Rhinolophus ferrumequinum: one gene and its partners. The protein of the gene in region 3 purifies or fractionates together with the protein of the main gene of each other region. This does not show direct contact. Links are inferred from orthologs where the notes say so. Each region holds a gene or a part of one and is shown on either strand. Other genes may lie near its edges.

Region 1 (7,739 bases), on a different chromosome or scaffold from region 3:
ACTTATCCACTTGGCTCACCTTCCCGGCATTCTTCTGTCACTTCAAGCTGTGACTTGCTGCAATTTAATTATGTAGTTTAAGAGTGCCCTCAGGTGTCCTTTAAGAGAAAAGCTGCTGATATGGACCAGCCAGACAGATCTTGAGACCCTGATGTGGAAAAACCCCTGAGGCAGGGGACATATTTTTGTTTCAAGAAGTTTCAGTGCTCACCGGCTCACGTAAACCCCGAATTTCAAGTCACTGAGGTTAGGCTGATGTGCTGGACAATTGAAGTAGCTTGGAATTGCAGTGCACAGGATGTCTTGTGGATTTCTCAGACCTTAGCCTAACCCTCCGTTAGGAAAAATGTCCACTTAGGTGAAAGCAGTGATATTCCTGGGATCTTTATTTTAAGGGTCTCTTGGGAGTTTATATACTCTTGGGAGGTAGGAAAGGAGAAAACATGGAGCAGAGGAAAAGATGAGAGGTTCATTTTCCTCCCTCTGGTGTGTTGTTTGGGTCTTTTTTGTTTGTTTGCAACTAGGGTTCCAAACAGGCAATTATTGCTAATGTTGAATTTCTCTTTGTATGTATGTTCAACTGTGAAATCACATTGGGAGAGGCTGTTTCAAGCTTGTTTTGATAATTCCCCTTTAGGGATAAGGTTGAAGGATGGAATTCTATTGTCCTAACCAAGGGAGGTTTTGCTGCAAGAAATCCTTGCAGTTTAGTTCATCATCTTCCTACGTAGGTTTCCTTATCTAGACAGTGCAAATCAGTGGGGCTGACAGAAACTTGCAAAATCCACGGAAGGGGAGGGAGACATGCTTGCAAGTCAGACCCCAAAATGAAGATCTCCCACTTTATTGGTATCAGAATTACTGGGAGAGCTTGTCAGAAAGGTAGATCCCCCCCCAAACCCCACACCTCCAAAGTTCTGAGCAGCTGGAGGTGCAGTCACATTGGGAGGTTGGGGGTGGATGGAACTGATGAACTCTGATACAAACGGGTGAAGGAAAGAAAAGAACAAAGAAACAGCTGAAAAAAATATGGAGGAAAAGATGTATGGAAGTGAGCAGAAGCACAGTAGCAAAGAACCATAAAATAACAAACATAGCTCAAAGAGCTGGGTGGAGCAGCAGGAGCCAGGTGTGGCAGGGCACATGAACTCAGTGAGAAAGCATGTTGGCACAGGCTTCATAAACCTCAGCTCTCCCTGGAGTCTCTGCTTGGAGAACACCAAGCTAGCCAAATAAAATTCTCAAAAATTCCAAAATACGAGGCTGGTCAAATGGGCCAATACCCAAGAAAGAGTGGCTACAAGGGACGTGGCCAGGCATGATCCTGCAACACTCTTTTCCCGTGGGTGCAGCAGCTGTGGGGTATGAGTGTGTGTGTGTCTCAAGATCAGCACAGACTGGTCCTGGCACCCCCAAACTAGGGGTGAGCTCCCTGGGCAGTGAGTCTCGCCTGCTGGCAATGCTTTCAGCCTGGTCAGTGTCGGCTCTGGCGCTTTGCAATCTCCTCCTGGATGCGCAACTCGAGGGCCTCTCGCATGGATGGATCCAGAGGCGTGTGTGCTGACACCTCCTCACTCACCCTTCCTGGGTCATCGTCCTATGTGGAGGAAGAGTCAGGAAGCTCAGGGCCTGGCCTCTCTGGAAAGGCAACCTGCCCTGTCCCTAGACAACACTCTCAAAGAATTCTGACTTACAACTTCTTGCCAGTGCCTGTCATTTCCCAGGTATCCCCTGTAATAGTGATTCTCAACTGAGGGCCACGAGCCCTCCCTGATGCTCACTGAGAATCACCGTGTGACAGGAGTTGTGCTCAAAAGCACTGCCCAGCAGTCTGTGCTTCCATGTGGAGCAGACACTTCCCTTTGGCCCTGATGAAAACAGTGACTCAGGGTCTGGGAGTGATTTCTCCCATGTCCCAGGACCTTCAGGCTGTAGTTGTTTCCACCAGGCGTACCTGATACACGATAACTGATGTGATTTCTCCGCTGTCTGCCTCATATTCTAAGCAGAAGAGCTGATGGCCAGAAGGCTCTGGCTCCGAGCCACCACTACTGCTGCCGTCACCGGACTCTTCACAGTCTGGGTTGCTTGGGTGGGTAGAGCCATCTGGAAGGATGAACCAGAGTGAGAAGGAGGAGAGGAAGGCTGCTGGAGTTCCTGACCACAGATAAAAGCCCCCATCTTTTTATGAACCCTGTGTGTGTTTGTGTATATATGTATGTGTGTGAAATGTGCCACCACTCAGTTTCACCTTTGTATCCCTGCTCTAGGGCCAGCACAATCCTGTCACACAGTAGGCACACAATGCACATCTGTCTAATGAATAGGGTTGGTAGGCAGTTGAAAGGCGAACAGAGCTCTGTCTGGGTTCAAGTCCAGGCTCTGCCATTTACGAGCTCTGAGATTTTGGGGAAGTTACTTAACCTCTCTGTGCCTATTTTCCTGACTGTGAAACAGAAACGATGAACAGTTCCTAACTTATGCAGTCCTATGAAAACATGACAACGTACAGAAAACTTCAAAGCACTTTAAGTCATGCTCACGAAGTCTAGCGTCGTACGTTAACTACTGCAATCGCTACGTCCAGGGAAGCTGGGAAAAAGGCCTGTTACTGGGTTTGTCTTGCCGGTTCCCAGGTATGTCCTGTAACAGTGACGTTTAATTGGGGGCCATGAGCCCTTCCTTTCCTGTCCTCCAGGAAAAACAATCACTGAGCGGAGACTGGGGAGCGTCGAGGTGCAGGTTCCAGGAAGGAACGGGATGAACTGAATGAACCCTGGAGAATAAGAAGGTTTTTGTTTTTTCCCATTTAGAGAAAGGGAGTGCATTGAGGCCGAGGGCCAGTGGCCAGCGCACGCTGGGAGGCAGGCTGGACGGGCGGCCTCACCTCGGTGTCGCGGCAGGTACACTGGCAGGTCGGGCTTGCGGGGCCTCGTCGGAGCGGGCGTGTGTCGCCTCCTCACCTTCTCCTTGGCTGCCTGCTTCACCTTCTTGTCGTAGTCATCCCTGCGGAGAGCCGAGCGGGAATCAGGGACAGCCCGGCTGCGCTGGGCTGGGGGTGGGGGAACGGCGGGGGCGGGGCGGTACCGGGCCAGCTGGTTCCGTCGGATGTGGTGCACGAAGCCGTGGCTCATGTCCAGCCGCCCGCCAGGCTTGCAGCAGAGCCCCGGCCCGGGATCCGGCGTCGCTGCCATCGGGAGCCCTGGGCGCGGAGCCGCCGCCGCCGCCGCCGCCGCCGCCGCAACGGCTGCACTAGTCACCCTCCCGCCGGGAGAGGTCGGCACCGCCTCTCGCTCGCCTTCCGGCCTCGCACCCCGACCTTCCGTCGGGAAAGGGCCGTGGGGCCGAGCGGCGCCGCGCGCTGAGTTCCAGGCGCTGACGCGGGGGTAGGTGGGGCGTGCGCGACTTCCACGCCCTGGGCGGGACTTTTCTTTGTGACATGGAGAAGAAACAACATTTTAGGTTTACAGCTGATAACGTCAAACAATTCAGCACCCATGACACCACTGAAGGTCCGGTGTGGAGCCTTCCCGTCCTTTCTCTGGGGGTAGGGTGTTGTGAAACTTGAGTCGCTGCACGATTTCGGCTGACTACCGGACCCCGCGGGGCCTCAGTTTCCTCATCTGTAAATGGGGACTCGGAGGGCACCTACCTCAAGAAAGGTGGTGAGGCGAGTGCTCTGGCAGGGCCCCAGCGCCGGGGCTCTGCAGCCGGCCAGCCGACCGCCCAGCTCGGCGCCCACCGGCCAGCTGTCTTAACTGCTCCCGCGGGAGGACTCAGGGCTTTTCAGGGGTCTGAGCGGGCGCCCCCTTCCAGTCCTCCTTAAAAGAATAGACAGAATTAGGAATTTGTCATTAGAACAGGGACAAACATTAGGAATTTGTCATTGGAACAGGCACAAACTGTGGTGCACCCACACAGTGGCATACAGCTGAGCGATCTCAAGGAACGCGCTGTTGCTACGACGCGGATGAATCTCAAAATAAACGCGCCAAAAAGGACACCCGGGTGCTTCCTGTACGTGCAAGTCTAGAACACGCACACTAACCTGTAGTGACAAAGCAGACACGTTTGGGGCTGGCGGGGAGGCTCCTTACGTTGATCGTGGCGATGGTTTCCGAGTGTACATACATCCATCCCGGCAGGATGGAGCAGATCCCACACTTTAACGTGCGGTTTATCGTATGTCAAAACACCTCAGTAGAACTTTACAAAGAAAGCAGTCTCGGGTCCTGGAAGGGGGTCGCGAGTCACAGGCCCTGAAGCCTTAGCTTTATTAGCGTCACTGTAAGTCCCCTTTGTTCAACGTTTCCATTTGCCTGTGACAATATGAACAACCCTCTAAGTGTGGAATTATATAGACTCCGGGTTGTTGCAGGAAGGAGATGATTTGGGGATGTCGCCTAGTTCTCCTGTGCAAGGGGCGTCGGTCTCCGAAGCCCGGAGACTGTGGAGATGATGCCCCCGCCCCATGCTGGTTTCGGGGCACAAAGTATATTGAAGATACCTGGGGTATCTTCAATGACAGCTTCCTTGATCCAGATATTATGCAGCCAATAAAAAGTTCCTGCCTCTTTAAGCTGGAAATTTCGGGTAAGGTGGCAGTAGGCCCGCAGATCGGTCTCAGGTGCGCACGCAGCCGCAAAGAGGCCACAACAGAGGCAGTACCGGTACTTCCCAGTTTCCTCCGGTATAATTTGTCCCCTTCGGCGACTCGTAGAGAGCCTTGGGCTCGGTAACAGCGGCGCTCTCGATTGGCTGTTTGCGGCGCCTTCGAACGTGCCTAGCTCCTGCGCTGGGCGACTGGGCCGGTAGTGGCGATGTCTGGCCGGTCCAAGAGGGACTCTCGTGGTTCCACCCGTGTGAAACGCGAGTCCGAGTCACGGGTCAACTCGAGTCGCGTCAAGCGGGAGCGAGATCGGGAGCGGGAGACCGAGGTGCCGAGCTCCCGGGGCAGTCCGGTGCGCGTGAAGCGGGAGGTCGACCCGCCTAGCACGCGCGAGGCCCCGGCGCCCGTCATCCCGGCTGTGCGGGTGAAGCGGGAGCGCGAGGCGGACGAAGACTCCGAGCCTGAGCGGGAGGTGCGAGGTGCGCGGGGCCGGGCTGGGCGCGGGCTCTACTCACGCGTTCTCTGTTTTCTTTCCAACCTTCCCGGGGTGGGTCTGGAAATCCACACTTTACCAGTGTCCGAGACCCGACTCGATTGGCGTCTTAATGAAGATGCTACTAGTCTTAATAATAACTATAGTTACAAGATTTCTAACGACAACAGCAGCTTTCCTTTATCGAGTGCCTAACGCGGGCCAGGCATTGTGCTTATTATTTTACAGGTGTTATGTCCTTCAGTTTTTATAAAACACCTGAGGATTGAGTCTTGCTGTAATTTCTGGAATTAAAAGACTATTCAGATTTGAGAGCCTGAACCCTGGTCGCCTGCACCCTACTGCCCTGTTAGCCAGACCTTAGCAGCCAGATCAGGCTTGTAATCCTGCCTCTCAGTTTGAATCCCGTTCCTCAGTTTCCAGGACTGTGTATCTGTATATGAATATACTCATATTAACTCTTACATTTTTTTAGCTCAGCGTCCTGTATTTGACATTTTGCATCACACACAGGATCCAGAGTAGTCCCTTGCTCATAAATGCTTGACAAATATTCTTTGCATAATCTAGTTAGTAATTTCAAGGTATTCTCTAATTTCCTTTGCTTAAATACTCTGTCAGCCTCAGATTTCCCTTTCTTTAGAAGAGAAATTGTTTCTTAGATATTTTGCATAGTTGTGGTATGGAGATTGTTTTCTCTGGGACACACTTGGATCCCAGTTGTTACTGACTTGTCTTTTTAGTTTTCATTTTATTTTTATCATGGACTAGATCACAGGTACCAAGATGTACTGAATGTAATGCAGAAGTACAGTGTAAAGAAGTGTGTGGATGTACATTCTTAAATCTGCGTGTGAAGAATTGTGAAGGGTCTGAGATTTCATCCTATTTGCAAGCTACCAAGTTAGGCTGCTTTCCTTTCATGCTGAAGGAAGACATGGGACTATTGGGCCTGAGACGGTTTATTGTTACAGCATTAACAGTAGCCAGAGTGTGGCATTGGTGTCAGTTCCCCAAGTCAGTTCCCACAATGCAATATGAAGGGAACCCATTTGGCCCAGTGGGTGGCCCTACAGTAGAGGAATTCTGAGCTTCCAGAGCCCGAGTCTTTTATAATAGGCTGTGAGCTTGCCTCCCCTTTGCTCTGTAGGGAGATAACTATTTCTGTCTTCCAAGGTTGTTCACTATATAAACATCCTTGATAAGATCCTCTGGATGGAGTTAGTGCCTCTGTTCACAGTATGTGCAGAAACACGAGAGACCCCTGGAGAATTGTTTCCTAACACTGTCAGCTTAAGAAGTGGTACATAACCTTGGAAGTTCCCATAGGCTCCTCCTTAGTTGGATATATGCTTTCCTTCCTTGCTTAGGTAATCACTATCCTGAATTTTTTTCTAATCACTTCTGTTTTTGTTGTTTATAATTTCATTTTGTATTTGGTATAAGTGGAATCATACTGTGTAGTTTTCTGATTTACCTTTTTTTTTGTTTTTGCTGGCCATATTTTTGAGGTACATCCAGATAGATGGCTACATAGTGTTCCATTAATGATACACCAAAATATATTTTTCCATTTTATTTGTGGGGGACATTTGGGTTGTTTCCACTTGGGGCTCTTTCAAGTATTGATGCTGTAAATATTTTTTAGTAAAGTACTCCTGGTGCATGTGTGGAAAAATTTCTCTAGGGTATATAGATAGAGAGATTGCCAGGTCAAAGGGTCTGCATATTTTCAGGTTTGATCTTGCTGTATTATTTTCCAAGAGGCTGTAACAGTTCTCGCTCCCACCAGCAGTGCGCAAGCATTCTCATTGCTCCACATATTCGCCAGCATTTGGAATTTTCTGATTGCATTTTTCCCCCCTGATAGGTGTGACACACATCATTGTGCAAGATTTGCATTTTCTTGATTATTGATGAGGTTGAGCATCTTGTAATATGTTTGTGGGCTGTGTTCCTCATTTTATTGTGTTGTCTGGCTTTTTTTTTAATTGCTTCAGTACATTTCTCCATGTAATTTGCAAACAAATAATTTGTTGGGGTTATATGTGTTTCTAATATATTCTCTCTGTGGCTTGTTCCATTAGTGGGTTTTTTTTGGGTGTTGCCAGGCTACCTGTATAGGAGCTCCCCTTGATTAGTTTTGCCTGTTTCTTTGTACTCGTAGTTGCCCCTGAGTACGGGTTTCCCATTTTCACAACCTGTGATGACTTTCCTTGCAGCAAAGAATGGCCGGGTGGATTCCCAGGACCGGAGGAGCCGCCACTGCCCATACCTGGATACCATTAACAGGTCAGTAGGACAGGGATGCCGAGGGCAGCAGCAGAACAGCGGAATCTAGGCAGGAAGCTCTTGGGAAGTTCCTGTTAATCTTACTGTTAATCTTTGCTCTTCAATTTAAAGTGTCAGAGGGCATGCTGTTTTAGGGTGGGCACATGCATAAAGAGCTTGTAGCTCATTTTGAATCCGTGTGATGAAATATCAGGATACGTAGTGTCAATGATGATAGCAACTTTAAATATTCATTGAGCACCCACTATGTGCTAGGCTCAACTCTAGATGCCTGGGATTTACTAGAGAAAAAAAGAGACAAAAATATGTCCTGAAGCAGTTAGTTACCTCATCCTGATACCCTTT
Region 2 (7,979 bases), on a different chromosome or scaffold from region 3:
CTAAGTATTGCTTCTGAGTGTGTAAATAAGTCTAAAAATTAGAATTACTAGTTTTTAGTAATGATCAATGAGTTTAATTCCCTTGCTGAAGAAAAAGCACTGGGGTAAAGAAATGAAGTGACTTGTCCAAGACCACAAAATAAGACTGTTAACAGAGCTGAGGCCAGAGCTCAAGTTCTCCTGAGTCACAGACCAGGGTGCTTAACTCTACAGAGAAGTTCACTCAATTACTTCCAAGTACCTCAGAAAAAGATCATCTAACAATTCCAGAAAGTTATGTAAGTTTATCCTTGGATTCATTTTAGGCTTGCAATTACACCTTAAGAGAGCTTTTCCGCTCTTTTTAAAAGCATGTTTAAGCCAACTACTTTGATAAGTTAACAAAGCAAAGGAGAAACTGCATAAATACCCTTTCAGTAGCAACAGTAGATTCTTGTTTAAATTTCTGAAGGGTGCCCATCAACAAGCCAAATATTCGCCGGTTCCTAAAGAACAGAAAAAGAAAATTCAATTTCAATAGGATCTACTTCATTTAAACCTGCCATTTCCTAAAAAGAAATGTACTATAGCCATTTGGACAATTGCTTAAGTTTTCTTAAAATTGCATTATTTAACAGGAATTCTTTCCCCACAAAAAGTAACTAAAGATACCTTTGCTTTCCCTTTTCATCCATATTTTGATCCTGGATAAGGTCTCTCCGTGTGCGTTCTTTGGAGGTAGCTACAACTGAAGACTGCAAAGCTGGCTACAGGAGAAAAGAAAATCTCAGTAATTTAACAAGCACATGGGTGGTACTCTTTGCAGTAACATGAAAATACTATATTCATCGTCTAAGTTCTTTTAATCTCAATTACCTTTTTAACATCATCATCTTCTGGGTCGCTTTCTTGGCGTGATTCTCTCCGTGTCCGACGCTCCCCGCCCAGCCTGTCATAGGAAAATAATTTAAGTAACCACCACAGAATCTGACTTAGTTGCCTACCAAGGCCAAATGACTCCTTTTTCTAAGACTCATTTCCAGAAGCCTTATTCTATTATCTCCATCCCATTTTATTCTTTGCTCCATTAGTGAAAAGACAAAACCTTCAGTGAGCTCCTATGCATCTAGAATAACATATCTTTGAAATGTTAAAGTAATTTTCTAGACCTCACCCTCCCGAAAGACAGAGGCACAAGACTCTAGAGCACAAGACCACAGTATCCCTCATTGTTATCTTACTCCTCGCATAGTCTCTGTACTATAAATGTTAATTACTAACTATCCTATACCCACCGATGTAAGTCTCTCCATTTTCCTTTCTACCCAATCCTACAGATCTGTTTTGCTTTCTCTCACGTCCTTAATCTACCACCAATAGATTTCATATAACCCTCCCTATGTCTTCTCCTTTGATTCGAATGTATAAAATAAGCTGCAAAATGGCCATTCTCCCAAGCATTTTCTTAAAATGCTGAAGTTTTGCTTCAGGGCATGTCCTCAAAATTTTGGTTCAAACGCTTAAAAAACTTTTCTGCAGGCTGGACATTCTTTCTTTGACAATATTCGTTAAATATATATATATATGCTACCTCAGAAGACAGAGCATGTAAGTGTGCCTTCACAATCTTTTTTTCCAACATACCTACTGACTGCCCCTTCAAGGTCTCTCTGTTTGGCTGGGGGTCCTCCTCCACTATCTGAGAATCCACGCCTGCAATTAAAAATGTCCAACACAAAGTACTTGAAATTTAATGTAAATATTTCCATTTAGCAAGAAAAATTAAAAGTTTAAATATCCTTTCAATGAAAGCAACCTTAAATGGACATTCACTCCAAGATGCTTTTATAGCATTTTTTAAAAAACAACAAAAAAATTAAGTTCGCACAAAACTGGTACAGTTACATTCTCCAATCTCTAGTTTTACATGTAAGTGAAGCTCCAAGTATAACTACCCAGAAAACTACAGTTAATCATAGCTTTAAACAAACATTTGTAACATTGGTTCTACCACAAATTTTGTTTAAAAAGATACATTAATTTAGTACAAAAAGCACCAACAGTTTTAACATACGAATTAAGTCCTAAGGAAATCTTACCTCAGCAATAAACTACCACGTCCTCTACCTCCACCAGGACCAGAAAGGGCCAGCAATCTGGCTTGGATGGGCCTACAAAATATTTACAAATCAGTACAAAAATCACATGTGGACACATCTAATGGCCCCAAATAACGTTCACCAGTGCGGTTCATCATACGGAGAAAATAAACAGAAAAGTTCTAAACATACGAATCAAATCCACGTGTTTGAAAACGAACAGGAAGTACTATTTTAACTTCCTTGCTCTTTCAAGATCAGTAGCACAAATTGTATTTACCTCGATGCCACTAGACATTAACAAGCTTGGATCATGTCCTAATTTCGCCAATTCCAAGGAAGCTGCACGTGGGCAAGAACCTGGGACGAGGGGGCGAACCGTGTCCCGGGAGGGTCTCCGGGTCAGTGGCCGCCGGAGGGAGAAGGGGCTTTGTGCTGCAGTTCCGGGCCTGCAGGGCCGAGGGCGGGAATCCGCAGTCCGGGCCTTCCCACAGGCCGGGAAGCCATCCCGCCGCACGCAGGCCCGGTTTTCCTTCCTCACGCACCTGAGCCCGGGAACCTTTAGCGGGGGCCTTGGAGACTACCCCACCTCACCGAGGACCGGGTTCTATCGCCGCCCCGGGAAGAGGCCTCGATGTTCCAGCCTTCTCCTAAGGTAGCTGGTCGCCCTCCCCGCCCCCCATTCACCCGGCTTGATGGCTGCCTCTCGGAGCCGGCATTTCCCATCCCGTCTTTACCTCACGTCATTCGGATCCCGCCCGGTGAGCTTGCGAATATTCTCATCCACGTTCTTTAGGCTTTCTTTGGCCTTTTCTAGCTGCTCCTGTAAAGTTCTCACTGCGACCGCCATCTTCTCCCCGCAGCAGGATTCGAGACTGCTCCACAGGCCGCGCCTGCCTGTGCCGCGCCGCTAGACGCGTGGGGATTGACAGCTGGGTTCAGCCAATGACGGTAGGCGTTGTTTTTCGGCCTCAACCATTCAGCAACCGGAAGGGGAGAAACTACCGGCCTTTGTGACTCTGGGCCAATGAGAAGTCCGCTAAGGCGGTCACCTCCCTCCCCAATTAGCTGCGAGTGGCTGGGCTCAGAGTCTAGCGCAGAGCTGGGGCGGGTTTGTGAGTCCTTGCGTCCTGGGAGACGCGAGCTTGCGGGCCTGCTCTTCTGTCCCATAGCGTGGAGTTTTGCAACCTTTTTAACCTGTGATATGACGTGCCTTACGTCGTTTTAACCACCTAATCACATCAGAGTAAGACCGAGGCAAGTCTATCCTCCCCCGTCCAGTATGGAGATTAGGATAAGATGCGACAGTTCTGTTGGTGCGCATGCCCAGAAGGAGTGTGTGGAGGTGCGCGCTTCCCTTGATCAGATTAAACCAAAATGAGCAGAGGGAAGTAAAGAATGAAGAAACAGGAAAAGTCATTAATCGTTATAGCTAACAGTTATTTTCGGTGTGAAAATAACACTGTGGTCTATGTGTCATTGCCCAGGCAGAGTCTCTGCTTTACAAATTCCTAGGAAACCTTGTTGGGTGGCAGGCATGCTATGGTGTCCTGTGGTTCATCAGGGAGAGTAGGGTAGGGCCAAAGGCTGCGAGGTCATGGTGCCTGGGAAACCCCATGAAGATTGTTGATGGGACCCTGTTAACTATATATTGACACTGCCGTGCCCATGTGCTGCTCAGGCAGGGTGTGCTGGACATCAAAGTAAAGATATGCTTCCTTGGGACCCAAGTGGTAAGTAAGATTGGCCCTAAGAAGCTCCTGCCTGACCATGTGAGCATTGTGGAACCCAGAGATGAGATACTACCAACCACCCCCATCTCGGAACAGAAAGGTAGGAAGCCAGAGTCGCCTGCCATGCCCCAGCCAGTACCCACAGCATAACAGGATCTCCTTGGCGGCTGGATCTGGAGTCTGGAAGTTGCTCTGAAGACCTTTAATAAAATCTTTTAAAAAGATTAAAACAAAAAGCAAAAAACCGCAACACAACACTGTGTGAAACGCTTTGCATGCCCTATGCCTCTCAAAAGCTGAAATAAAATACCAGTTTTTACTGGTGAGGAAATTGAGTCTGGGGATTCAGTAACTGCCCCTAGGTCTTGCCAGCCTAGAATCACCATCAGATCAGACCCTGTGCAAGACTGTACTAGAAGAAAGAAAGTGACGGTGAAACAGATGAGGCAGGCATTAGCCTCTCTACCTGGCCTAGAGCTGGTTAGTTTAAAATAGGGTTAGGGAATCAGTGCTATTGTTGGTTGTGTGTGAGAAAGAGTATTGTCCAACTTCTGGTTCTGCTCTACCTGGACTGCCAACATGGGAACCAGTTTTATTCCAGAAATATATTTGCAAATTACAGTTCAGAAAACATTTTCCCACAGAAACAGTGTTATGAATAACCTTTGGATTCTTATTTTCCATCTGACTACCAGGCGTCCTACTTGCACCAAGCATTAGCAGGCCAATTGTATTTAACTCAAGCTACCATTTTAATTCATCCAACCACTTTTAAAAACTCCTTCTGTGTATAAGCGGTAACCTAGGCTATCAGCATAAAGCCTAGAGCAAGATAGCTGTGGTTATAGTTTCCCTGGAGTTTATAAGCTCTTCAGGGAGCAAAGATCACTCATGTACTCGTTCATTCATTCAACAAATATTTGTTGTGTGCCTGTTATTTCTATGTGCCAGGCACTATTTCAAGCACTTAGATACCTCAGTGTGCAATAAAGATCTCTGCCCTCAAGGAGGTTGGGGGCAGAAAGAATGTGGAGACAAAAATCAGTATGTTGTGTAGCATGTTAGTGAAAGAGAGCAGAATATGACTCCCCAAAATGTGCCATTTTGGCATGTGGATTATTTTGGGTTGAAGGCAATCAAGACCCAGCAGACTCAACAAAAACTTTTACTTTCCCTTTAACTGCCTAAAATAATTTAGTTAGGGGGCCTGGTCCAGAAAGAGAGATATTACCAGAGATAACTTTTTATTTGAAAGACCTGCATAGCAGAGCAAACATCTGCTCTTCTTGTGAATTGCCTTACTTTCATTTATAGCACCAGGTCCCTAGTATTTCATTCCTTAGCTCAGGATGGCAAATAAGCCTCAGTTGCCTGACTACCTTTGAGGTCTCATGTTTTCATGGGGCGCCCATATGCATAGAATTAAATTTGTTAATCTATTTTATGTCAATTATTAGATCATCCAAAATACCTAGAAGGGTAGAAGGAAAACTTTTCCACTCCAACATTAGAAACAGAAGTGCTATTGAAAACAGAAAAAGTAAAGCTAGGTAAGAGGGATGAGGATTGATAAATAATTATTTCATTCTGATTGTGAGCATACTTAATCTCGATCCATATTACAATCCTATGTGGTAGGCAGTACATGAAGCACCAAATGTGGTAACAGTAGATCCTAACTACCAATTATAACAGTGTTTCCATGACAGAATGCTTTTAGAGTTAATAAAAAAACAGGATCTAACCAAAAGTAGGCTTCCATAGGATCTAATACTAGGATCCTGGGCAATTTAACATAGTCTGCTTTATGGGGGAGAATCAGTGGGATGCTGTGTTCAACATTTAGTAGGTGCTCAATAAATATTAGTTTCCCCTCTATTCTCCAGAATATTCTATGAAACCCCTGTTATTGTAGTTTGAGAAATCAATCTTAGTAAGTTGGTCAGTTGCTTACTCTTTGACCTCAATGGTGAATTTGGACTTCTGTTCCTCGACGGTGGTGATGAAGGGAGAGTGCAATTGGGACATAAAGGACCTGACTTCTGAAAAAATTAAGATTATGGTTACAAAATTACACTATTTAGTATTTTCAAAGGCTTAAGTGGAACTTTTATGCTTGATTTATATGATCAAATAGACTGATCCAAACATTAGAAGGGATATGTAAAAAAACAAACAAAAAACAAACAAAAACCTACCATAATTCTAGTTATGAAACATGATCTTAAATTCCTGTGAAAGAATATAAAGAGTTGAGAGGTTGTTAACAATTTGAGGAAACTCAATATGTTAATTTTGGGGAAGCAATGAATTAATTGGGAAGAAAATTGGCTTTGTGAATTACTAAGAACTAATCACATGCTAAGCAACAGGTTTAAGCCAGATTTGCCAAATTTAAGAGGTGCATATGATCTAAGATATGTATTTGCACCTCTGTAGGAGTTAAATTGCCCATGTGTCATAAATTTATACGAACTCCATCCCAAAATGACATAGCTTTTCTGAAGTTTATAGCACTTTTTCCCTTCACCTAATCCTCTGATTAATTTGCATTTTCTGGTTCAAGAGTATCCTGTTCTTTCTTTACTCCATCTGCCTTGTCCCTTACACCCCACTCCCCGTAAATTTCTTGGGGGCCAAAATGGCTTTAAATCTTTTTGCATACCTAGGCTGAATCCAGGATAATTTCTCATATATATTTAAAATTTATAGCCTGAAGATTTTTGAGTTATTCATTCTTTCTACAGTTTTTCATATTGAGGAACATGATGGCAGGAAGTGGAAGCTTTTGATGAAGTGAATAGACATTCTTTAAAGTTTAACTAACTCATAAGTAATTAACTCAGAGATGGCAGGAGGAGCTTCTTTGTCTTATTTTGACAGCTGCCCCTCCTTCCCCAGTATCTCAAGGGCGCCAAGCAGTCCCCCGCCACCGCCCCCCGCCCCCGCCGAGGAGGAACTCTGCGATCATAGAGCTGGCGGAATGCCGGGGTAGAGGGGACCGGAAGTTGTTGGTTTCGCCGCTAGCCCTGTGGCCACATACAGGCTTCGTGGGTTCGGTTTGGTTCCCGCAAGTGTTACACTATCTCGTTCCTCCCGAGGGCTTGGTGGCCCTGGGGTGGGGTGCGCTCGCCCTGGTACTGGGCTCAGTCCAGTACCAGCCTTCCGGAAGCGGAGTGAATTCTTCGGTCTCCTAGCAACGAGGGACGGGCTGCGGACTGAGGGAGCGGCGGTGCAGCCCGAATCGCTCAGGCGCTGGCCGGAACCCCCGAGCCTGGCCCAAACGGGAGCCGAAAACCAGAGCTTGGAAGAATAAGCAGGAAATGGCGGACGAGGCGTTGTTTTTGCTTCTCCACAACGAGATGGTGTCTGGAGTGTACAAGTCCGCGGAGCATGGGGAGGTGGTGAGTGCTGTCAACACACCCTTGAGGTCCTTCTGCGATGACAGTTTCCCCTCAGTTCTTTCCTTCGATCCCTGTCCCATCGCCACCCCACGCCTCCCGTGGTGTAGACAAGCTGTTCTACCTGCAGGTATCCTAAGGCCTCGAACCTTTCAGCTGTCCTCGGTCTTTTATCCTCTTCTCCCTCGCATCTTCTACTATTTGGTACTTTTTTGTCAATTCCCGTACTTGTATCCTGCAGGCCGCAAGTTTTCTTACTTTTAGTGTTGTCTCTACCATGATTAAAGGCAGGGTTAACATCTTTATTTCGGACCCCCTACTTAGTTCTGCCACTTCCAGCACTTCTGAGCCGTCCACTGCACAGACCCGTCCAGCCTGAGAATCTTGTCCCTCCCTCCTTATCCCTAACCCTCAATACCACTCCACAAAACTTGAAGACAGAAGCCTAATAACATTTGAGGTCAAAGCAAAGTTTTCAGTCATTACTATATTTAGGAAACAAATCAATTAATGTAAAATTTTTTTTATTTAATGCCCATTATATCTGTCAGAGCTAGTTCTAGGTGCTGGGGATAGATAGATAGATAGATAGATAGGTAGAGACATAGATAGATAGATATAGCTAGCTAGCTAGCTAGATATAGATAGATAGATAGATAGATATAGATATAGATAGTAATGAAGGAAACAATGACCCCATTCTCTTGGAGGTTACTTCAAATATGTGGCAGTCTTCATTCACTCACTATTTAGCGTGTGTTGTGGGC
Region 3 (7,423 bases):
GGGGGACGCCTATATATAAATTCCATACACATAAATTTACATTTTGCAATTTAACATTACACATTTAGCAGTACATGTCTCTAACCTGGTCTGTAACAGGTTCATCATAAAACAAAACTGAGAGCTGAGTAACATCCTTCAAATCACATTATTTGGAACAGAGCTTAATTAGAAGTGCTGACAATATGGCACTGTTTAACAGTATATATTTGTTTTTTCAAATGCAATATACAAGTTTCACCATTCAAACAATCCAGGTCTTAGAGCATCTAGCACAATGAAAATAGCCATGGAACAATTTTAAAATAAAGTGACCAATTACCAACCACTAGCGTTATTTTAACTTTCTCTGTCACGTGTTTTTTTTCAATGAATATTCTTTTTGACATTTTATTTGGAGGGCATGCAATTTATGCTTTACAGACAAAGAATGGTGAGCAAAATGAATGCCATTGCTTCTTTACAAAGAAAGTAATTCGGCCTGTTTCTCTAACAAGTTAAACTACTTTAATACAGAACTAGTTAGATGTAAAAATAAGAATGAATTAAAAAGACCAACTGGTGTTAAAACAAACTCTTCAGCCTACACCTTTTCCAGATTAGGTTTGGGAAATTAAGCTTCAAAGAATTAGAACTGTCACATCAAAAAATGGCTTTTTCCGGGACACTGAAAATAAATAAAAATGATTTCAAACCTTAAAGGCTATTTTTAAAATTATCCACAATGTGTAGTGGCAGACCAGACTGTATAGTAGTTAGGAGCAGGGTTCTAGAACCAGACTGCCTGGGTTTAAATCTTGGATCTGTCACTTAGTACGACCTTGGACAAGTGAACTTAATCTCTCTGTGCTTCAGTATCATCATCTGTAAAACATGGGCGATAACAGTATCCACTACCATAGGGTTGTTATAAGGATTAAATGAGTTAATATCTGTTCAGTGCTTTGAACAGTACCTAGTGCAAATAAGTCAATGCATATAAAAATGTAAATGTTTAAAACCATCAAAAAGACTGAGCTAAAGAAACTGACAAATATAAAAGTCACTAAACAGCCTTCAAGAAGCTTGAAAACTGCTTTTCGTATTTACTCTTTCTAAATGTTTTACTTTGAATAGATTCCATATAAACTATTCAGTGTCTTCTAAAGAACTGTTTAGACACTATATTCCAGCATTCACTATGAGCAGTATACACAGTACTTGCTTTCATATCAAATTATTATTTTCTTTGCTAATCATTTTCAAATAATTGAAAGTGGAACACATATAGACCAAATATTCCATTTGTACCAAGTGGTCTGGGGGAAGTGGAGGTAGAATTAAAGACTATCTCAGTGTCATTCATATTGCAGACCTAAATAAAGTTATTTATTACTATCAAATGTAGGATTTCAGTATGTGAATAAAATATGCCTGAACCATTCCTCAAAATGAATCTGTAGCGTCCCTGAAATTAAATGAATGGACATATTGCTTTAGAACTTTAAACAGATTACTACAATAATCAACTGCATAGCATTAGATTTGTACTGTATTGGCATAAATACTGTAACTATGCCACACTGTGAACTCGACAGAAACAAAGGCAAAGTCTTGTTAAAACTTTAGAATCAATTTGCTTTCTTCTAAGTCAAATTGTGAAAATAATAAAGCAGCTTTCAAAAACCCTTTACAAAAAACAGTGTAATTCTGTCTGGCTGAGTAAAGCAAATGATTGAAGGATCCAAAACTCTTGCACAGCAATGAAGTGTTGGGCCGTCTGGTGATAAAGATTTCTCCTATCTTTCAATCCCAAGTTGCTGGGAGACTATATCTACCTCTTTCCAAAAATGGCTGGAAACAAATCAGATAATGCTCATGCAAAGAATGGTCGCTATAGGAATATTGTTTTAAAATCCATTCTCTTTTATGTTCTTCAATTTTCCTAGCATAAACACAAAAAACAAAATACTGCTTTCAGTTAAGCAATGGTAAGCCTTTGCAGTATATACAAGTATGTTTTTACTCGACCACATCGATTCTTACATTAGTTTAATTATACACAAAGTACTTGGGTTTGGAAGTAGCTAACAATTTCCACTACTTCTTCCACTAGTTCTCCCAAAGAAGTCTTACAAACTCAGGACAAAAATGCCAGGTCTCAAAACCAAGGACTTAATCTTACTTTGTCTCACGTTAACCAATTGGCAAATGCTGTCAATAGGCGGGGGGGAGGGAAGGGGGATACCGGGTGAATGCTGGAATAAAGAAAACAGGGGTGGGGAGACGAAGTGCACAAACTATAGCAGGGGATGGTCAAACAGGATGGCCTTAGCACCCCTTTTCCTCTCCGCTTTCTGGTTCTAAAACGGACACCAGTAGCAGGACAAGCCAAGTACTGTACGCCGAAGAAAAGTCTTAGGGCTTGCTCCGCTGCCGCCACTGTCCCTTGGGTGCCTACCCAGGGAGCTCCGGTCGGTCCCGGAGGGAGGAATAGGAAGATGCGACCGCACATTCGGGGTAGCCGCCGCGCGCACGGGACCTGTAGGGGCCGCTCGCGCCTATGCTTCCCAGGGCAACGACGCGCGGCAGGCCGCGGCCGCCTCCGACCCAACAGACGCGGCCTCGGGGACAGCGAAGCTTGCAGGCCGCCCGCCTGCACCCCACGCTTCCCGCCCCACAACGTATAGAGCGGGGAAAGGCAAAGTTTCGCTCTCGCCGTTAGGCCTGAACTTTCCCGCCCTACTGTGCAAGTCTCCACTGTTTGCCACTCGGCAGTCCCCAGGGCTCCGGCCTTCCGTACCACTCAAAGAGACTACTTACTCTGGCTGTTCCCGCAGAGACTGAGCCTCCACAGCGGCCATCTTGAACTTCCTGACTCCTCGGCGGCGGTGGCGGCGGCAGCCCGGACCGTGGAGGCTAGTGGAAGTAGAGGAAAAGGGAGCAGAGCCGTCGCGCATGTGCTAACCGCGTAAAGAACCGTGGAGCTCTGAGTCCGCTCTAAGAATCCGGATATAAAAGTGCATCCGGGGACAGCGCGCACGAACGTCATGACGCAACTTCCGGGACGAAGGGGCGTCGGGAGGTGTAGGCGGTACCTGCTAAGGATGTGAGGCCGGGTTATTTAGGCTAACTAGTCAGTGTCAGAACCCAACCTTTAGTTCTCGAAACTTGTTGGGGACGAATACAAAGGGATTGAGATATCGGGATCAGATGTGCGGTTCCGGGGACTCGTTTCACTGTGGGCGCAGAAGTTGAGTTAAAAGTCTCAAACGAGGACAAACAAGATGATACTGCTTCTGGGCTGCGTTGGAGGCATAGTGAATGTCTTTTTACCGGCTAGTTAATTCTATCAGAGGGAAAGTTTGTGGAAAGGCATATTAAAAAGACTGTAAAGTTAGGGCCGCACCTAGAAAGAAAATGTATTTTACTATGTAACTATTACTGATACATTTATTTGAAACTTTTGAACTTTGTTTCAGCTTTTGCCAAGTCCAGGGGTAGGATTCAGGAGTCATTAGGTTCAGTGGTTCTGTGAACTGAATTAGTAATGTTTTTGGTTCACATTATCTGATTTGTGTTTTTCTATAATAATGAACTCTACAATAATGGGACTAAATTAAATATTCTATGAGAAAACATTTACTGGCTCTTGGAGAGATTTCAGCACCATGTAGGATTTTACATTCTCTGTGTGCGCGTATCTGTCTGTCTCGCCTCTCTCTCTCTCTCTCTCTCTCTCTCTCTCTCTCTCTCTCTCTCTCTCTCTCTCTCTCTCTCTCTGTCTCTCTCTCTCTCTCAAAAAAAAAAAAAAGTATCATTCCCCATAATCTGGAACCTGAAAGCAGACTGATGATCACTTTCATTCTTGTAATCAACTGATTTGGGGTTTATCCTAGAACTTTGAGGTTGGAATATTAGACCTTCTTATATATCTTGATTCTCAACAGGGAAGAGGTAGAAATATTCTTACAAAATAAGTACAATGGTACCCCGGTTTTTGAACATCTCCGTTGAGGAATATTTCAGTTTACGAACGCTGTAAATTTTATGGATCTATGGTATCATTAGATAGTAAAATTCATGCTAAATTTGCAGTTTTAGGGTTTGATTTTAAAGGTCTGGAATTGATTAATCCATTTTGCATTACTTTCTATGGGGAAACCGTGCCCGGTTTTCGAATGTTTCAGAACTCGAATGGTCTTCCGAAACGGATTACATTCAGAAACCGAGGTACCACTGTACCTGGTTGGTTGATTCCCAAGCAAGTTAAAATGTTAAACGTTTTCCCCTCATACACTCTATTAATATAGACTACTAAATTACTCCTTGGATAATTATTGATTTTTGTGGTTTTTCCCCCACCCCACACTCCATTATAGCATTTCTTTATAGTACAGTCCTTAATTACATTGTTTTCATGAAGGATTTCTCTCTTTCTCCTTAACAATCAAGTTCAGGTATAATAACTTGAAAGATTTCTTTCAAAGAGAAATGTTTTCAGAAATATGTTTAAAATGATGTATAATTCAACCATATGTTTATTTATGTACCAATAGTGTATATGTTGGGATTTCACAGTTCTAATTGTTCATACCATTAGATTCTCATCCCTATATAATTGTTCAAAAGTATTATGAATTCAGCCTTGTATTTACCATTTATTATATTATCTGTCCCCATGAAGGCAAGGCTATGTGTCATTGTGTCAAGAAGAGCTCTAATGTTATTAAAATAACAAAACATTCGTAAATTATTTTTAAACAATTTTAAAATTAAACGACCATAGTGTGTTTACTATAAACCTATTACAGATCTCTTCTTGGAAATAAATGCAAACTTATAAGACATCTCATATTGGATATAAAATTGAATAATATACTTTTAGGCAAAGGAAGCCTAGCAAACTGGTGTGAAGAAGTAAGATAACTTGCTTGTGATGACTCAGTTTTAAGTGGGAACGCAGGTTTTGAACTAAAATCTAATTCCTGAGTGTGTGCTCTTTCCTTCTTACCATGCTGCTTCCCACTGAAATGTCATTTGTTTAGCGTTTACTTATTGAGGACAGAGCTCTTTGATATTTTTTTGAGTAATGGGAATGAAAAGACCACTGGATTGGCATCCAGAAATGTCTTATTTTTCTCAAGGTCCAGAGGCTGTAGTCTCTTTCTTGTTGCTGACTAGTGGAGAGCACATAGGCCTAGCTCAATTTCTTCAACCGTATTATCTTCCCTCCTCTACGACTCTTGACAGTACGCTTAATGTGAAGATTAAACTAAGCACACTGAATATGGGGAAGCATAGATGGGGGAAATAGTCGCTAAGGTTGTTCAGGGTTGAAACCAGATTATGACTGGCTAAAGTTTAGATTTGGACAAACTATTGAAATTTTTAAAGAAAGAACATAGTAAAAATAAAGTTTCAGAAAATAATACTGGCAAAATATTTCCTTTAAAATTTTCTCACCAAATTGGCTTGCAAGGTACTACCAGTTTGGAGTACAGTAGGAAGGGGACTTGTGAAGGATTCACCAGAAACTTCAGACACCCTGGACAGCCAGAAATACGAACTGGTGAGTCCTAGAGCAAATTAAGCCTGAAACATCTCTGGAGGCAAATATGACAAAACTGAAGCTGTCCTACTTTGGGCACATCATGAGAAGGCAGGGTTCTTTGGAAAAGACAGTAATGCTGGGGAAAATAGAAGGCAGCAGTAAAAGATGAAGAGCAAGTATGAGATGGATTGACTCCATAAAGAAACCATAGGTATGAGTCTATAGGAGCTGAACAGGGCTATTGAGGACAGGATGTTTATGGAAATCATTCATTCACAGGATTGCCAGGAGACGGAGCCAGTCAATACATAAAGCACACACACACATACGCACTATGTTGCTATTGTAATTTTGGAAGAATAGCGTTTTTTGAAGGTGGAGTTAAAGCAGGCATGCACTTACAACTTTAATCATTCAGCAAGCATTTATTAGCGACAGACTTAAGCCCAACTTTCCATTTTCAAACTTGAAGCCCAGTGTTTCATTCTTGCTGCTTTCCCTCGGCTTCTTTGAGGACCTTTGCTCCAGAATGCTGCCCTGGCAGGGGCCATTTCGTAGGACGAGCGCCAGAGGCGCAGCTTAGCGGCTGAACACGCCCGCTGTAGCAGTTCCCTGGAGGGGCGGGGCCTCGGTGGGCGCTCGACCCGGGAGTCGCGTGCGTGCGTAAGAGCGTGCGAGCGTCGGAGGAAAGGGCTAGGCGGACCTGAAGCGAGTGGTAGTTCCCAGTCAGGGCCACTCCAGGCCCGGAAACCGCGGAGCTGGGCTGAGAGCTGAGTGCTTCTGGTCAGCGTCCACACCGCCCACTCGAGGAATCCGCTCCCTCGCGCCCTGAGCCCGCTCTCTTCAGCCTCGCTCCCCCTCGGCGCTATAACCGCCATTACAGTCGAGGCGGTTTTCTGGAGTCGGCCGGCCAGCCGGCAGACCCGCCTAGTAAGTAGATGGAGAGGCCCGTCGGTCCTGCCAGGCTCCGCGTCCCTAACACACTCTGTTGAACCCCGCAGAGGCCGCATTCGGTAGAGCCGGGGTCGACTCTTCTGCAGCAGTCTTGTGAAAGCCAAGGGCTTGCCGCCTTACCACTAAACAGTATCAGAAAAGTTAATGGCCCGGGACAAGGTTTTGGGGACAAGCATGCATTTTTTGAACATTTCGACTTTTGCTTACCATCTTTGCTTTTTAAGTATTGTTACTTTAATACAGATACACATTACAGAAATAGTTTGGAAATATCTTTGAATTATGTTCCTCCCGTGGAAAGGGATTATTAAACTAAATTACGCTGTCATCTTCAATCCAGTTAAGCTGTTAATAGGCTCATTATAACGTAGGCTACAAACAAAAATAGAGTACCATAAAATCCTTTGAAGAAAATTGCACATGGAGGGTCCCCAGATGTCAAAAGAATGTAGATTATCTTTTCAATAATACTTAAGGTTTTATCTAGTTTAAATCTACACTTGGAATTACTACTGTGTTTCCCAGAAAATAAGACCTAGCCGGACCATCAGCTCTAATGCGTCTTTTGGAGCAAAAATTAATATAAGACCCGGCCTTATATTGTATTATATAACATCCAGTCTTATAGCAAAATAAGACCGGGTCTTATATTAATTTTTGCTCCAAAAGACGCATTAGAGCTGATGGTCCGGCTAGGTCTTATTTTCCGGGAAACACGGTAGCTGTTTGGGAAGACAGAGTTTTTTTCCTTCATTACAAAACAAGAACTTTTTCCTTTGTTCCATGAAAATTAATTTTGTTTTTTTGTTTTAAAACAGTTCTGATGTGTTCATCAAAATCTGGAAAATACGACAAAGCAAAAGGAAACAAAAACCACTCAGTTCCATTACCCAAACTGAACCAACATTAACTTACTGGCTTATTTTAGTTTTACTT
Region 4 (7,777 bases), on a different chromosome or scaffold from region 3:
ATTGGAACACCCTCCTCACTCACCCGATCTGGCCCCCAATGACTTCTTTCTTTACCCAAAGATAAAGGAAATATTGGAAGGAAGACATTTTGATGACATTCAGGTCATCAAGGGTAATACGACGACAGCTCTGATGGCCATTCCAGAAAAAGAGTTCCAAAATTGCTTTGAAGTGTGGACTAGGCGCTGGCGTCGGTGCATAGCTTCTCAAGGGGAGTACTTTGAAGGTGACTGCAGTGATATTCAGCAATGAGGTATGCAGCACTTTTTCTAGGATGAGTTCGCAAACTTAGTTCTCCAGATCATTTCTCTGTGTTTGCTTTTCTTTCAGTTACTACTGAAAAATCTATGAATGTCCTGATCATGTCTTCTCGTGCCCATAGACAAGAGAGGCACCAGTCTAGTGGTTCTCACGTTCCCTGAAGCAGCAAAATACCCGGGGCCTGTTAACATGCACACTGCTGGCCCTACTGCCAGAGCTTCTGATGCAGCAGTTCTGGGATGGAGCCTGAGAATGTGCATTCCTAACAAGTCCCCAGGTGCTGCTTTTAGTCCAGGGACCCCACCTTGAGAACGCCTGTCTAGGTGTATGCCTGGGGTGGAATTGCTGGTCACCAGGTACTGCTCTCAGCAATACCACATCGTTCGCCAACGTGGTTGTGGCTCAGTGTAGCTTACCACCCGTGTTAAATTCAGATTCCGTGTTCCACGGTCTGTCACAGCTCAGTGGTGGCAGCTATCTTACATGGTAAGTCATGCCAGTGCAGGTGTTGTCCTTGACTGACCCAGTGGCCCTTGCGGGATGTGACCACAGCCTGTCAGCACTCAGAATGTGGGGGAATATGCCCATCAGCATCAGTGACAGTGACCCCAAATGATAAAACAGATGTTTACATTTCTTTTACATATGTCACAGCCAGAGTAACAATCTGGAGACAGCCTCGTTCATTATGTCAGAAAAGGCTTGGGTCTTGTAGTCCAGCTGCCTGGGCTGAAATCGCAGCTCTGTGACTTTACACTTCTATTTCCCCAACTATAAAATGGACATAACAATGGGGGCTTTATCCACGAGGAGCTCGGCACAAGGCCTGCTGGAGTGAAGAGCAACACAAACCAACAAAGTTTGTGCCTGTTACCGTGTGGTCTCTTCATTCTGCAGCAGGTGTGAATAGCCCCACTTTACAGAACAGGAAAACTGAGGCTTAGAGGGATGTTGCTTTCACTCTCACACCTGGGGCAGACAGACCTGGGTTCTAATCCGACCTCAGCCATTTTCTATCTTTCTAAATGCTCCCCTCCACCCCAATAAACACACACACACACACACACACACACACACACACACACACACAACTAGATGTTGCAAACATTGTGATTAGCCACTCAATGCCTGACCCAAGGTTACAGGGAGATCACTGCAATCCTGCTCTCCAGGAGCTCGTGCCCACCTGCAGAAATAGACCAGGGCTCTGGTAGGTGGTCCATTCAAGGTGAAACCTGAAGAATGATTAAAAGTTAGCTAGATGAGGGGTGGCCAGTTAGCTCAGTTGGTTAGAGCACCATGCTTGTAACACCAGGGTTGCTGGTTCGATCCCTGCATGGGCCAGTGTGAGCTGCGCCCTCCACAGTTAGATTGAAACAACTACTTGACTTGGAGCTGATGGGTCCTTTAAAAAAAAAAAGTTAGCTAGAGGGAAAGGTGGGAACAGTGTTCCAGGCAGCAGGAGTGGCATGTGCAAAGAAAAAGTGTGGAGCGAGTTGAGAGCCAGAGAGGGAGCATGAAGACTGGCAGGCCAGGCTGGTGGGGCCAGATTACAAAGAGCAGGTACATCAGGCTTTGGTGTTTGGGTGCAGAGGGAGCCCCTGGGGGGGGGGGCCTCAGGCTGGAGTAGTGAGACTGAAACAAACCCGAGATTATAGAAAGATGGCTCTGGATATCTGGGGGAGGGTGGGGGTCAGGGGACAGTGACAGAGCAAGTGGTGGTAGCTAGAACCAGAGTCAAGGGGGATGGAGAAAAGGGAAGACAATTCAAGACTCAGTTGGGAAGTAGAGTCACGGGTACTGGGCAGGAGACCTGCCCCATTTGCCTCTCCTCACCTCTCCCAGCCCTTTCCTCTTTTTCACCCTCACCTCCTCTCAGCTATCCCCCTGCATTTTCTCCCCTTCTCTCCTGTTTCCCTTCATTTCTTTTCTTCTTAGAAAAATAATAGTTTCATTAAGGTATCATTCAGATGCCATAAAATTCACCCTTTTAAAATGCATACTTCAGTGGTTTTTAGTATATCCACAAAGTTGTACAACCACCACCACTGCCTAATTTCAGAATATTTTCATCACTCCTAAAATAAACTTTATCCCCATTTAGCAGTGACTCCGTATTTCCCCTCCTTCGGCTCTGGTAACCACTAATCTAAGTTCTGGCTCTATGGATTTGCCTCTTCTGGATATTTCATGTAAATGAAATATGTAAGTCGGCTCAGGCTGCCATAATAAAACCATAGGCTGGGAGCCTTAAACAACAGAAATTTATTTTCTCACAGTTCTAGAAACTAGACATCCAAGATCAGGAGGCTGGCTTGATTCGGTTCTGGCTCTGGTGAGAGCCGCCTTCCCGGCTTGCAGACATCACCTACGTGTGTCCTCACGGGATAGAGATTGGGAGGGAGACACAGAGGGAGAGGGGACTTCATTCCTTTATATGGCTGAATAATATTCCATGGTGCGCATAGACCACATTTTATTTATCCATCATCAGTTGATAGACATCTAGGCTGCTTCCACTTTGGGGTATTGTGAATGATACAGCTATGAACAGTTGTGTACAGGTTTTTGTGTGCATGTGTGTTTCATTTCTCTTGGATTAGATACCTGGGAGTGGCATTGCTCGGTCACATGACAACTCTATGTTAATGCCTTCATTTCTTCCCTTGCTCATTCATTCATTCAGATAACATAAGGCAAACACCTGAGTTAATTCAACTTCACTGTGGGCCAGACACTCATATTTGTGGGCAAAATGGTGGCAGTCTGCCCCAAGGAGGAGGAGTTTTTCTGGAGGTGGAAGATGGGGTGAAGAAAGGTCTGCTTTGCTCACCATCCCCCAAAACCCTTAGTTACCGCCAGGACCAGCTACATAATTTGCAGGGTCTAGTGCAAAATTAAAACATGGGCCCCTTGTTCAAAAATGATTAAGAATTTGAAGGCAGGGATAGCAGAGCATTCAATCAAGCCCAGTACCCTTCTAAAAGTGGGCTCCTTGTCTCTAAATGGAGAGCGCAGTTTGATCCTCTGCAGGCCGCCCTGAAGGCAATTGGTAAGATGCAAAAATACCCCAAGTACCACACCATGTCCTTCTAATCATGAAAAGTTACCCTGGTAAGCTCATCCCATTTAAAAGATGTGGAGCTCTTTAGTCTGATGGAAATAGTTAAAAATGTTTAAGCTTTAGTATTTAAACTCACTCCATGTCTCAAAATGATTAATTTTGTGTTGAACTGTTTATATTTAATAGAGTGGAAGTTATTTAGTCCCATGGAAATTGTTTTAAATGTTTAGTCTTAGCCTGGAAGAAACCTCAAAGCAGAGGATCAGCTAACCCATGTCCTAATTCTTGACCTACAGATATGTATTACACCCTGCTCACCACCAAAAGTCGTTTCCATCTGTCACCACGCAATTGACCCTTTTACCTGTTTCGCCTTCCCTCCATCCCCTTTCCCTCTGGTAACCACAGGTCTGTCGTCTCTGTCTCTCTGAGTTTGCTTTTGTTTTGTTTTGTCTGTTTTTGTTTTTTGTTTATTTTGTTTTACATTGCACATGAGTGAAATCATATGGTATTTGTCCTTCTCTGATTTATTTCACTTAGCATAATACCCTCAAGGTCCATCCATGTTGTCACAAATGGTAGGATTTCACATTTCTTACCGCTGAATAATAGTCCCTTGAATATAAACATGTATACTACTTGTTCTTTATCCATTCGGCTACCTAGATACAAGTTGCTTCCATATTATTATTACAATAATACTGCAACAAACATGGGAGTGCAGATATCTTTTCAAATTAGTGTTTTCATATTCCTCAGGTAAATACCCAGAAGTGGAATTGCTGGATCACGTGGTAGTTCTAGTCTTAATTTTTTAAGGAATCTCCATACTGGTTTCCATAACGGCTGTATCAGTTTACATTCCCACCAACAGGGTAGGAGGTTCTCAGCTGATTATTCTTAAGAAAGCAGGAATAGTTTTAAAATTTTTAAGTTTTTATACTCAAACTCAGTATCTCAAAAATGATTAATTTTGTGTTGAACTGACTATATTTAATAGAGCAGGAGCTATTGAGTTCCACGGAAATAGTTACAAACGTTCAGGCTTTGATATTTAAACTCAGTATCTCAAAAAATATTCATTTTTTAGTGGGTGCTTACGTTTATTAGAACGGGAATTCGTTAGTCGGAGGGAAGTTAAAATTGAAAGCTGCGAGGGCGAAACCACCCATCGCTGCGCCGGGCGGAGCTCCCCACCGAGAACCCAGGGCGGGAACGTGGGCTCGGGGTGTCACTTGACCGCCTGGCGCCAAAAGCCCTCTCCGCAGGCGCCGTCACCCCGCCAGCCGCACACTAACCCAGAACACCCCTGGGGCGGGGCCTCGGGCGGCGCCTGCGCCCTGGCGGGCTCGGGCGCGTGCCGCGCACCGGCGGGAGCGCGCGGAGGCCGGAAGGAAGCGGGCGGAAGGCGGGGCGAGCGAGGGAAGCCCGCCGGTCCGCAGGACGGTCGCGGCTTGATGACGTAGCACAATGGCCGGCCCCCGGGGGTAGTGGAGCCCGTTTGTTCCGCCCGCGTCGCGCCTCAACCCGGAGCCTGTAAAGAGCGGAAGGGCCGAGGGACGTCTTCCCTGCGCCGGCCGGACCCCAGCGGAACCGTGGCCCCCTCCCCGCCCTCGCGCTGAGGTAAGCGGTGGCGGCGGCGGGGCATCTGGGCCGGCGGTGAGGAGGCCGAGGCGGCCAGGAGGGGAGCGTGGCGGCGGCGCGGAGCCCAGGCCGGGGAGCTCGCCGCCGCCGCCTCCGGGGAGTGCTCCAGGCTGCGCCCCCGGCCGAAGCGTGGTTCTCGGACCCCGGGAAGGGGACGCTGAGATAGACAAGATCCCGCGTTCCGTCTGCGCGAGCTGGTCCTGGGGGTCCTGAAACCCCACAGATCCCGAGCTCCCCGCGGCTGCCTCTGCGCCCCGCGGTGGAGTTGATTCTCTTGAAGCTGTCATTTCTCTTCCGGGACGTTTGCGGGGCACATGTTTGCCGCCCACAAATGTGGGAGTAGGCACGCAAGTTCGTCCCCCGGAGGCTGCCGGCCCGGACTGGGGATGAGCTCTTCGGGAACTTCGAGCTCTCTGGAGCCTCCTGGAACTTGCTCTCTCAGCTCCCCCAGTGTGCACAGGTGGGAGGTGTAGGCTGTGCCTAGAGACGGGCGCCACTTTCTCAGGAATATGGGATTTCCTTGCCCCTTTGGATAGGAGCCCAGAGAATGCTGAATCCTTGGTGTAAACTAACTGCAGTCAGTATGATGCTGGAAGACCTCAGACTTTGAGACTTCCAGTCTTGCTCTTGCTGAAACTTAAGTTCTCCTCACTGCTGTGTGACAGCTGAGTTTGCTGGGGGGAGAGGTTGATCGTTTTAAATGCCAGCAGACGCAATTGTAAGAGTAGGTCAGTCTTCAGATTCATTTGGGGCAAAAGGAGGAAGAGGGTGTTTGACATCTGAAGTGCTGTTCAGGGGCGTAGCAGTGGCTCTCATTTCTCCCGTGAGACTCGCCTCCATCATACAGCCCATGGATTGGTTCTTGTCCAGAGCAGAGTTTGGGATTCTCAGGGAGAGACTGGACCCAGGCTGATTCCCACTTCCAAGAGCTGGGAGGGGAGTCTTGGTCTGCTGATTTTACAATCTAAGACGTGGAACCCAGCCAGCTCTGGAAACTAATCAGCTGTGTCCCGAAGGCTGGAATGCCTCTCCAGTTTTGGGTGGGAAATGCTCAAAACGTTGTAAGAAAGCTTTGTGGAATCATTGCAGAGAGCAAACAGGTAAGCTATGACCTTGCTCACGTTTAAAATAGGTTTTTTGTTTTTAGTTTTGCACAGCTATCCATCGTCTCAAGGTGAGTGCTTCCTCCTGGAGTATTTTGGTGGTCAGGCTTAGTCAGTTGGGGGGTAGTGTTTGTCAGCACGCTCAACATCTTTCCTTTAGGTGACGTAAGTACGTGAAGTTATGTGCCAGAACTTAGGCATTCAGGTAGAGACTGCTCTATTTAAAGCTGTTATCCCAAAAAGTTATCCTTGTATTTTATTGGTGCTCCTTTGCCAAAAACCTCTTGAGAACTCCTGTTTTGGTAGTAAATACATAAGCCATGTGAGAAAATCTGTCTTATTCAGTAGTCACACCCTGGGTTTGACCAAACATTGTCTTACCTTGCTTAATAACTCAGCTCACTTACCAGACCAGGCTCTGAATGGCTTCCTGTGGTTTGTCAAAGTGACCCACCTTGAGAGGAGAAAGATTTGTTGCTACTGAGAGCACCAAGAGAGTGTTTTGCAGGTTCGAAAGGTCACTCAGGAGGGTAGTTACCAAAATGTTCTGTGCTTTAACAGAGCTATTGTAATCCATATGCAGCCTTCCAGAGTGACTGCTGGGAAATGAGACAGCTCCCACTCTATGCTTGAGTGCTGGTATAGTCTTCTAAAAATGAGGCTCTTATTTCAAATTTCTTTTTAGTACGCAACAGGTAGTTTATCAGGTAATGAGCTTTTGTCATTTATTAATTCAACAAACATTTATTAGTCACCATTTGCCAGATGCAGTAGGCAGTGGAGACACAGTGAGTGATGGATAGTTGTTATTCAGTTCTCTGGGCAGGTTCATCATCTTATGGATCAAAAGATTAAAGAATTAGTTCTAAACTTTGCCAAGAATCCTCGATTACAGGGTAATTGTGTGAGAAGAACAAACAGTAAAATCTGGGCACCTGGGACTTAGTGAAGTCATGAGCAGAGTGCCCTCCATTTCATTGTCTACACTTAACAGTGTTTTTCCTACCATCTGACATAGAGCACACATTCAGATATTTGTTAAATGGAGTTCATCTCAAATTAATTTAGGACACAGACACCTAGAGAGACAGTTAACCTGCCCAGAGCATGTCCGGGAACGCAAGCCATCTTCTGATTCCCCAGTGACACTCTTCCTGTTCTGTGTAGCATGGTGTGACTTGGGTTGTTTCTGATAACAGGGAACTTCTTTGGCGTATTTCCCTCTGCAAGGTGTTCACTTGTGAGCATCCTCAGATTGTCAATTCCCAGGAAAGAAGAGATGTGACTCCTTTCCTCAAGAAATTGTCAGGGCCTCCGAGGGTGACTGGATGTCTCCATGAGCTGCGGACAGACCCTGTTCATGCCTGCTGTAATTGTTAACAGTGCCCCTTTTCAGTCTCAGACACGTCCTAGTTTAGACAGTAAATCACATGAGAAGTCTGCTACTACACGCCAGCCATTTGCTGAGCCTAGGGAACACAGGTGAGTGTGAGCCCTCTAGTCAGGCACTTCATAGGGGGCAGTGGAGCCTCCCAACAGACTTTGCAAACAAATAATCTCAGTACAGTGCGGTAATTATGGATACATAATAGAATAATGTACAATATAGTTAGAGCAAGAGTTCTTACTCTGGGGACCATGAATGGACCTCAGGAGATCCTAACTTAGAAGATAAATTGTGGTATCCAGGTTTTTCTCAGGAGG

Evidence for each region.
Region 1: the proteins of PRPF4B (region 3) and USP39 purify together in Homo sapiens (affinity purification with mass spectrometry; 3 studies listed by BioGRID and IntAct, with this or other methods). This does not show direct contact. The link is inferred for Rhinolophus ferrumequinum from reciprocal best matches to the Homo sapiens genes PRP4K and USP39.
Region 2: the proteins of PRPF4B (region 3) and PNN purify together in Homo sapiens (affinity purification with mass spectrometry; 5 studies listed by BioGRID and IntAct, counting the BioPlex papers as one, with this or other methods). This does not show direct contact. The link is inferred for Rhinolophus ferrumequinum from reciprocal best matches to the Homo sapiens genes PRP4K and PNN.
Region 4: the proteins of PRPF4B (region 3) and ZC3H18 purify together in Homo sapiens (co-immunoprecipitation; 4 studies listed by BioGRID and IntAct, counting the BioPlex papers as one, with this or other methods). This does not show direct contact. The link is inferred for Rhinolophus ferrumequinum from reciprocal best matches to the Homo sapiens genes PRP4K and ZC3H18.

The regions. Positions count from the first base shown.
Region 1 is NC_046296.1:8,725,532-8,733,270, reverse strand, and holds the start of USP39 (U4/U6.U5 tri-snRNP-associated protein 2), read left to right. Parts: upstream 1-4,726; 5' UTR 4,727-4,820; coding exon 4,821-5,088; intron 5,089-7,324; coding exon 7,325-7,394; intron 7,395-7,739. Other genes in the region: C13H2orf68 (UPF0561 protein C2orf68 homolog), read right to left, coding at 1,475-1,597, 1,955-2,106, 2,888-3,006, 3,088-3,194.
Region 2 is NC_046289.1:86,505,075-86,513,053, reverse strand, and holds the start of PNN (pinin), read right to left. Parts: upstream 3,007-7,979; 5' UTR 2,929-3,006; coding exon 2,816-2,928; intron 2,151-2,815; coding exon 2,079-2,150; intron 1,693-2,078; coding exon 1,624-1,692; intron 929-1,623; coding exon 856-928; intron 747-855; coding exon 652-746; intron 486-651; coding exon 410-485; intron 1-409. Other genes in the region: TRAPPC6B (trafficking protein particle complex subunit 6B), read left to right, coding at 7,135-7,215. UniProt on the Homo sapiens protein: Transcriptional activator binding to the E-box 1 core sequence of the E-cadherin promoter gene; the core-binding sequence is 5'CAGGTG-3'. Capable of reversing CTBP1-mediated transcription repression.
Region 3 is NC_046292.1:89,848,991-89,856,413, forward strand, and holds the start of PRPF4B (serine/threonine-protein kinase PRP4 homolog), read right to left. Parts: upstream 3,003-7,423; 5' UTR 2,940-3,002; coding exon 2,803-2,939; intron 1-2,802. UniProt on the Homo sapiens protein: Serine/threonine kinase involved in spliceosomal assembly as well as mitosis and signaling regulation. Connects chromatin mediated regulation of transcription and pre-mRNA splicing.
Region 4 is NC_046298.1:33,213,598-33,221,374, forward strand, and holds the start of ZC3H18 (zinc finger CCCH domain-containing protein 18), read left to right. Parts: upstream 1-4,769; 5' UTR 4,770-4,949; intron 4,950-7,777.